2 linked regions of the Schizosaccharomyces pombe genome follow. Changing the gene in region 2 together with the main gene of any one other region gives a genetic interaction. Each region holds a gene or a part of one and is shown on either strand. Other genes may lie near its edges.

Region 1 (3,761 bases), on a different chromosome or scaffold from region 2:
CTAACTCGGAAGAGGGTGTTACTTATGAGCGTTTTACAGAAATCGTGATGGAAGAATTAGAGGATCGTGATAGTGCTCGTCAAGTTTTATATGCGTTTTGTGATGTTGCAGACGGAAAATCTTATGTCACGTCCGATGATCTATTGAGGAGTCAGGTTCGTCCTAATATAGTAAAGTTTTTAGAATGCAACATGAACAAACATTCAGAAGGACTGGATTATCTTACATGGATTAAACAATTACTGGCCGAAGACAAAGAAATAGTTTAAAACGGAGCATTTTGAATCACTTGATAAACTTAATGAACATTATTTGGATGAAAATTTAGTATACTTGAATAACAATATATATACGTTACAAGGGTCAAAGAAAAGTATATTTTTAAATACAGTAACTATCTGAAGAAAAACAAATCTCAATGCTAACTAACATAAAAATGAAAGAAAAAGGAAACTTGACATCAATACAAAAAGAAGGGAAAATAAAACAACATGCTAATTTTTAACAAATAATGGGCAATAAATAACGGACGATACAACTTAAAGTGGACTGTATCCGGATGTAAGATTTCCAATAAAATATAGAATACAAGCAGCTAAGCCAGCAGCTGCTGAAAGGAATGAATAAGCATAAATTTTCTTTCCTAAAACGATTGGAATGTTAAGAATTTCGATATTTTTTTCCAATTCAGAAATTGCAATACGATAAGTTGCAACTGCGATAACTGCAGCGATAAAAGTAAAAATAGTTGCAAAGAATGAGAAGACGTTGAGAAAGAGGGGACCAAAAAATGGAAGGCAAGAAATAACGATTGAAACTATTGTCAGAGCAAAGAAAATAAATCCAAGAATATACATGGCTCGCATAGCATAACATGCCCCTTTAAGCACTTTTAATCCTAAATCCACCTCGGAAGGTAAAGTGATGTTAATTTGGCTACCAGTTGCATTATTAATACTGGTTTCCAGCATTGTAAGGGGGTTGAAGTAATAACTAGGAGAAGGAGTACTACAATAAGTAGGATTTGTATAATCAGACGAATTTCCCTGACAATAATTCCAAAGACCAATGGAGTACCAGTCCGGGAGTTCAGACACGTCCTTCATCTCCTGCTCAACTTGTTCGATTAAATCAGTAGCACCTTGATCAATATATGTTTCGAGCGTGTCTACCAGTGTTCCAGTAAGCTCGTTAAGTAGGTTGCTTGTATTATTGACAACAGCAGTTTGATTGGCGACAGAAAAGATAGATGTAGTATTCAGTTGAATAAAGTAAATATTTTGAAAAGCAATGTTATGCTGAGTTTGATTGATGATGCATAGAATTGACAAAAGCGCGCCAACTCCAACGCAAACGGTACCAATACCAGTGAACAAAGCTTTAATAGGATTGAACCCCATTCCCATTTTGACAAACAGTTATATCAAAAACCAATTTGCTTGGGATGACAAAAAGAAAGAATAATATATATGATTATATATAATAGATATCACGATTAATAAGGAAAACTGATATGTAGTCTCCAGAAATAAACAATTCTTCAAGAAGCTGGGAAGAAGAAGGACAAAAAATCGGCTGAAAAATAGAGGGAAACACTTCAAAAACGCTGTTGTAAAACGAATTTCTTTGAAATTAATACGATTTAACGCGAGGATATTGAGTAAACAAGATAGTATGGATAGTAAACAAAAGAGAGAGAACTGGTTTTTTTTTTCAATCGTAAAGGCAAGTAGCTGATTGTTTCTTAACCTTTTATACGCATCAGAGGCGCAATCTCTTAAAGTCTTAATCTTCTGTAAATTTGGAATGCCACAATTGACACGGAGGGCCCGCTACGAGTAAAATATGTTTTGAGAAAGCGAAGTTGTCATGACAACCAAGTGTAAACAGACGGGTCATATCAATGTAAATAAACCAAACGCGGGACGTTTTCGATGTTTGCAACAAGCTCGACTATTATACGTGTGAAAAGGATGCAGTGACAGCAATTTTACAGTTCTTTCGCAGCAAAAGAAACAGTTCTGATATACGAACTCAGCGGCGCATGCTGTGTCGTACATTACTGACATATAGGCGCAGCTTGAGTTTCAAGCCCCATTATATATGAAAAGAAAGCGTTCATTAGATAGCCAAGTAAAAAAATCAACATAAGCGCTTTGCTTTTCTTAGTATTCGTTCCATGATACCGAACACAATAATTTGGGCTTTATATAGTTTTTGTATAAAAAAGAAATCATATGATTATCATATTAACATTTAATCGTTTAATGACTCTCAAAGATCCGTGATTATATAATAGAGAAGAGGAATTTACGTCGTCAATGAATCAGATATAATATTTAAACTAACATCATATAGATTTCCCATATTATCTTCTACCATGCTTTCATGACGAGGATACTTAATTAACCAATAATTTATACTTAATATGGTTGTGTTGCTCTAGTTACAATTGAAATTTTGGAAAGTGGTTTGGTCCATCGCAAGATTGGGTAGTTTGTGAATTCATTTAATTTGCCAAATAAATGAGCGAAATTCTCAGATAATGACAAAATAGTTATTTTTTTTTCTGGAGAAATGCGAAAGAGCTGTTGGAGTTTCTTTTGTAATATCGAATGGCAGAACAGAACTACTTTCTTCATATTCGTCAATAAGTTAAGTTCAATACTGGATCCAATTTCAACTTTTACAAAATGAATTATAATTGTTTACTGAAATTTCCCTTTTAAGTTTAGACCCTTACCAAGACTGTAAAGCACCTTAAGGAAGCGATCATTACTGCCTCTTTTGTTTGTTTACATTAGGTGCTTTCCTGATTTCTCCAATACACATACATTGTTGCTAGACTCATAGCGGTCAGACGAAGATAATTATTGATTCTTTAAATGGAACGTAAAGAATTGTCTTATACCATTCAAAGCTGGTCCAGCTATTCTGGAGCATTTCATCCTATCAATATACTTATCGATAATCCACACCAGGCTAACAGCCGATGGAGCTGTAATACTTCAATATGTAAACCCAACAACTCTGAAGAACAGTATGTAATTCTGAAACTTGATAAACTTGCGTTGGTTACCGATATCACCTTTGGGAAATTCCACACTCCCCATCTTTGCAACCTTAAAGAGTAAGCGGTTTATTTTTTTTTTCTTCCTCTAACAGTTTTAAGTTTTATAGTATATGGGGGGCGTGAACAGCATTTGATGTTCCCTTTATTAAGAGCTGGATTGACAAATGATTCAAATCGAGAAACATTTCCATTGTGTATCAAGAAATATAACAAAATTGAGAATTCAATTGCTTGTAAGTATATCAAAATTGTTCCACTTCAAGCTCATGCTCATGAATTTAACATGAGTATATGGTATGTTGCTTTACACGGCATTGACTCAGCCAGCGCTTTATCATGCACAGAGAAGAACAGAGCTTTACATCTAGAAAAAAAGGCACTCAATTGCCTTCTCTCTTACTTTGCTTTTAAAGGGAAACTTGATATATGTTCTGTGATACTTCAAAGCTACCAGCTTTCCATACCACATTCACCCTTAATGAGAATGTATGATGCATTTTGCAGACTAGGAGACACTCAAAAAACCATTCTTCTGTTTCAACAAGAACTTCAAGCTGAAATTATTGAGAAATGGCCAAAGCATAAATTAACCAAATTACGGTCGCATAGAATAGCTACATTTTTGAAAGGAATAAGTAGAAGAAGCGGTCATCAAATGGTTTACAATCCAAAGGTACCTTAGATTTTT
Region 2 (3,761 bases):
CATTTTTGGAGATGATAAAAAAACTTTTATTAGTGCAAGATATACAAATTGCATCGTGTAATGGCTCAAATAAACATAACCTTTGATATTGTTCATCATTGTCAAAATCGGTTAACCTGAGAGCGTTCTTTTCCTCAAATAGTTTATCCTTTCTTCCATATAAACGTAAATGGTCAATTAACTTTCCGTCAATGGTGTTATTAATACCGGCTATTAATTCCTACAATTTAATTTCGTTAGCTATGCAATAAAAAAATATTGCATACATTTTTAAAATAACCCAACGACATAACGGCATCATCCGAATGCTTAAGTTCGATTTCTCCATGTTCTATAAATTTTGTATGACCTTCACCAACTTCAGGTTCATAGTCTTCATATGATAATAACTTCTAAATTCGACAAACTAATTAGCGCCTATAGTCCAATTGTAAAACATAATCTTTTTAGCTAACAATCCGGATACTAAAAAGTTTATAATGCTGTAAAATAGATAGATAATGAAGTAATCCTTCACTTACAGTCACGAATTGACATACCAATTTGTTTTTAACACCAGATTTTGTAGTTCCTCCTCCACCACCAACCGCCATTTGATGGTTATTAATCCAACAAAGAGAATAAGCTGGAAAAGAAAGGTGGAGTTCAGCCATTTTGATCTAATAATTAGAAAACACTTTAAGCTGGATACGAGGAATAGGAATGTATTGAAAAAATAAATCGATATCGGCGACGAATCAAAAAAAAATTCTACTTATTAGTGAGCAAATCAATAAAGTACACTTACAAGAATTCCACTAAAAAAAAACAATGTCTATTTGAATACGGTGGTGTGGGTATGTTTCGAAATCGCTGTGAACCTACTTCGAGACTTAAGCAAATACTGTAAGAATATTAGATCCCCGTATCAGAATCTATCGAATAATATCGACATCACTATCCTCTTTTACGTATTTAGGCGATGTTTAATATATACATAAGTTTTTATCCATTTTTTTATGACAGTAGAGAAAAGATTTAATTAGAGATAACCTAAATCCTTATTGACTTAAAAAAGGATGATACTTACTTGTGGATATTTATTTGCGAAGAATCTTTGAACAAACAGAAACTTATAATAGATTCTTTCTAAATCTCGGAGCATATTCTGGCTCATTTTATATTTATATTTTCCTTTTCAGCTTTTTAGAACTCAATTCCGACCTCAGTTTGGTTGCAACTTTGCTACAGACACTATTTAATATCTCGGTCTCCTGTACATTTTACCAGGTTTACGTTGTATTGTTTATATAGTTTATATAGCAATATTTACTACATGTTCATCATATTACGAAAATAGATTAAGAGAACTGGGGAAAGAGTGAGGAGATGAGAAATTTTCGGATTTATTTATAATTTCCAATTATTATTTTTAAGACGAAATTGCCGCGAGACTACATTGTCCATGAAATTAATGTTTGTGTTTATTCTACTAAAGGGTATGAATGCTCGATCTCGTGCCAAGGTGCCTACAATCTTAATACGCCGCTGCCTGTGTATGATTATAATATTACTTCTGTTTTTTGCACAGAAAGCGTGTTTCATTTCAAAGATTGACTTCCAATTAAATTTAATTAATAATATGTTGTTTCATTTCCTTATTTAACTACCAATTCTTGTTCATTTGCAATTCACTCAAATATGTAACTGAACGTTGTCAGGTAATTTTTTGGCTTTAAATGATATGCCTCAATGGAATATAAAAAAGCATAATCCTATATAACTATTGTTTTTTTCAGCTTCGTTTCAGTGAAATGTTATGCTGATACAAATTGATTGAAACATGAATGCAAGACTTTTTTCAACTCAACAATATTTTATTTATTAGTAAATTTTAGTTTATGTAATAAACTCTTCATTAAATTAATATAACTTTATAGTGCTGCTTTCTTTTTGCACATCGCACATTAATTGCAAAAACTCTCTTCTCCACATCCAGGGTATCTGATGTCCTCGACAAAGTCTCAGCGAACGAGCGATTTGGGTTTTTCATAGCAGAGAAGTATCCAAATTTCAAAAATATTATTATTTTACTGGCTTTATAGAGAAGTATTTAAATTTTTGCATAACCCTCAATTGATAGAGTGCTGTAAATTCTACTTACATTATTCACATGTCTGCCGATAAATTTCGTGATTCCACGCATTACAGAGATTGGATTTTTACGGAAGAAGACCTTTCAAAAACACGTGCTAAAGTAAATGAAAAATTTACGAATATTGTACGTGAGCGAATGCTGGAAGAGTTGTCTTTACAAAACAAGGAAGCATCCTTAGAAGTTTTGCCTCCAACTCTTACCGTTGAAGAAGAACTTGAACTTGTAAATTATTATAGTTTCCAGTTGAACGCACTTTCTTCCGCTCTTTCCTTACCAACTCATATTCGCGTATGTTTAGACATGGTCGGATTTCCTTCAATTACTTGGAAACTGTACTCAATATAAACATTCCGACTTTACTCACAAAATTTTAGTCCACGGCCATTCTTTTTTTTAAACGCTTTTATCTAATTAACTCTGTCATGGAGTATAGTCCAAAAATTATTTCGTATGTTTAAGTCGCCGAGTCCATTAAGCTAACATTGTTTTTCTTACATTAGGTTTACTTCTTTATTTTTAGCTACCAAGTGCAACGATCATTATATCTCTATTGAACAATTCTGTAAAAACATGCCCAAGACGACTCCCGAAGAAGTTCTTGAATACGAATTTAACGTTTGTCAATCATTAAAATGGGACCTTTACGTCTGGCTTCCATTTCGTCCTTTACAAGGCTTCCTTTTAGATTGTCAAACAGTGCTTCCGAAAGTTGCTGTCGAAAAGTTTTACGAATGTCATGACCTTTCCAAAAAATTCCTAATTGAGACATTGCATTCTGACATCTATTTCTTACATTCACCCAGCATAATTGCTTTGGGTGCTATTTATCATACGAATCCAACTATTTGTTTACAATATATAGAAGCAAAAAAAATTCCAGAACTGCAACCTTTGATAATTTCGATTTCTGCCAATTTGAAAGCTACAAAAAAATTTAAGATTGAGAAAAAAAAGGCACAAGATTACGGCAGAAAGCTATATTTCTGCATGAATCCTCTGCGAAACAAGTCTAGTGCTTTGTACCTTAAACGAAAAGCGGAAGAAGAATCAACTAATAACAACAAATGGGCTAAAAAGTTCTCAACCAGCAGTAATGTGTTGGATAAAAATCCGTTTGAATGATTCTTTCTTTGAAAAGTGCTAAATTTACTTCAATAGTCATTATTCGTCAATTTTTTTTACGACAAAATAGTTTACGTTTATAAAAAATTCCCAGTAAAATTCACTATCAAGTGTGTCTCATTAATTATTTTTAATGTCTATTTGTAAAATTAAAAACATTTTCATTTCTCTCACAGCCAAGGAGCCCATAAGACGTCCATCTGTGCCAAAACTTTGGAACTAGAGGCTTGCGCCAAATAATCAATAGCTGTTTGATTGACTGGTAAGTTACCATAAGCAACCTGACTTAATGATGCAACCCTTCGCATTATAAGATCAGTATTGCTATTGACTTTGTTGAGCATACTGAAATCTGCCGGCACGCCTTTAGTTTGCTGTGCAAGCCACCAAAAAAGATCATCTCTAATAAAGATACCCAAGTACATATCCAAATCGAAATCCGGTTTGGAGAGCGCGCGAGCTATAGCCATTATTGAAGGGCCCAGTAAACCTTCAGTACAAG

What was found. A genetic interaction does not mean that the proteins touch.
Region 1: mutations in mcs2 (region 2) and mde6 together harm fitness more than expected from each alone (negative genetic interaction), as found in Schizosaccharomyces pombe (one large-scale study listed by BioGRID).

The regions. Positions count from the first base shown.
Region 1 is NC_003424.3:3,694,623-3,698,383, forward strand, and holds the start of mde6 (muskelin), read left to right. Parts: upstream 1-1,942; 5' UTR 1,943-2,885; coding exon 2,886-3,130; exon of another isoform or gene 3,131-3,172; coding exon 3,173-3,746; exon of another isoform or gene 3,747-3,761. Other genes in the region: ain1 (alpha-actinin), read left to right, coding at 1-269; pun1 (SUR7 family protein), read right to left, coding at 540-1,406.
Region 2 is NC_003423.3:1,891,004-1,894,764, forward strand, and holds mcs2 (transcription factor TFIIH complex cyclin Mcs2), read left to right. Parts: upstream 1-1,976; 5' UTR 1,977-2,152; coding exon 2,153-2,425; exon of another isoform or gene 2,426-2,511; coding exon 2,512-2,585; exon of another isoform or gene 2,586-2,637; coding exon 2,638-3,259; 3' UTR 3,260-3,405; downstream 3,406-3,761. Other genes in the region: GDP/GTP exchange factor Spo14, read right to left, coding at 1-220, 267-392, 540-653; SAGA complex, phosphatidylinositol pseudokinase subunit Tra1, read right to left, coding at 3,430-3,761. UniProt on the Schizosaccharomyces pombe protein: Essential for progression through the cell cycle. Possesses kinase activity that can be detected when myelin basic protein (MBP) is provided as an exogenous substrate.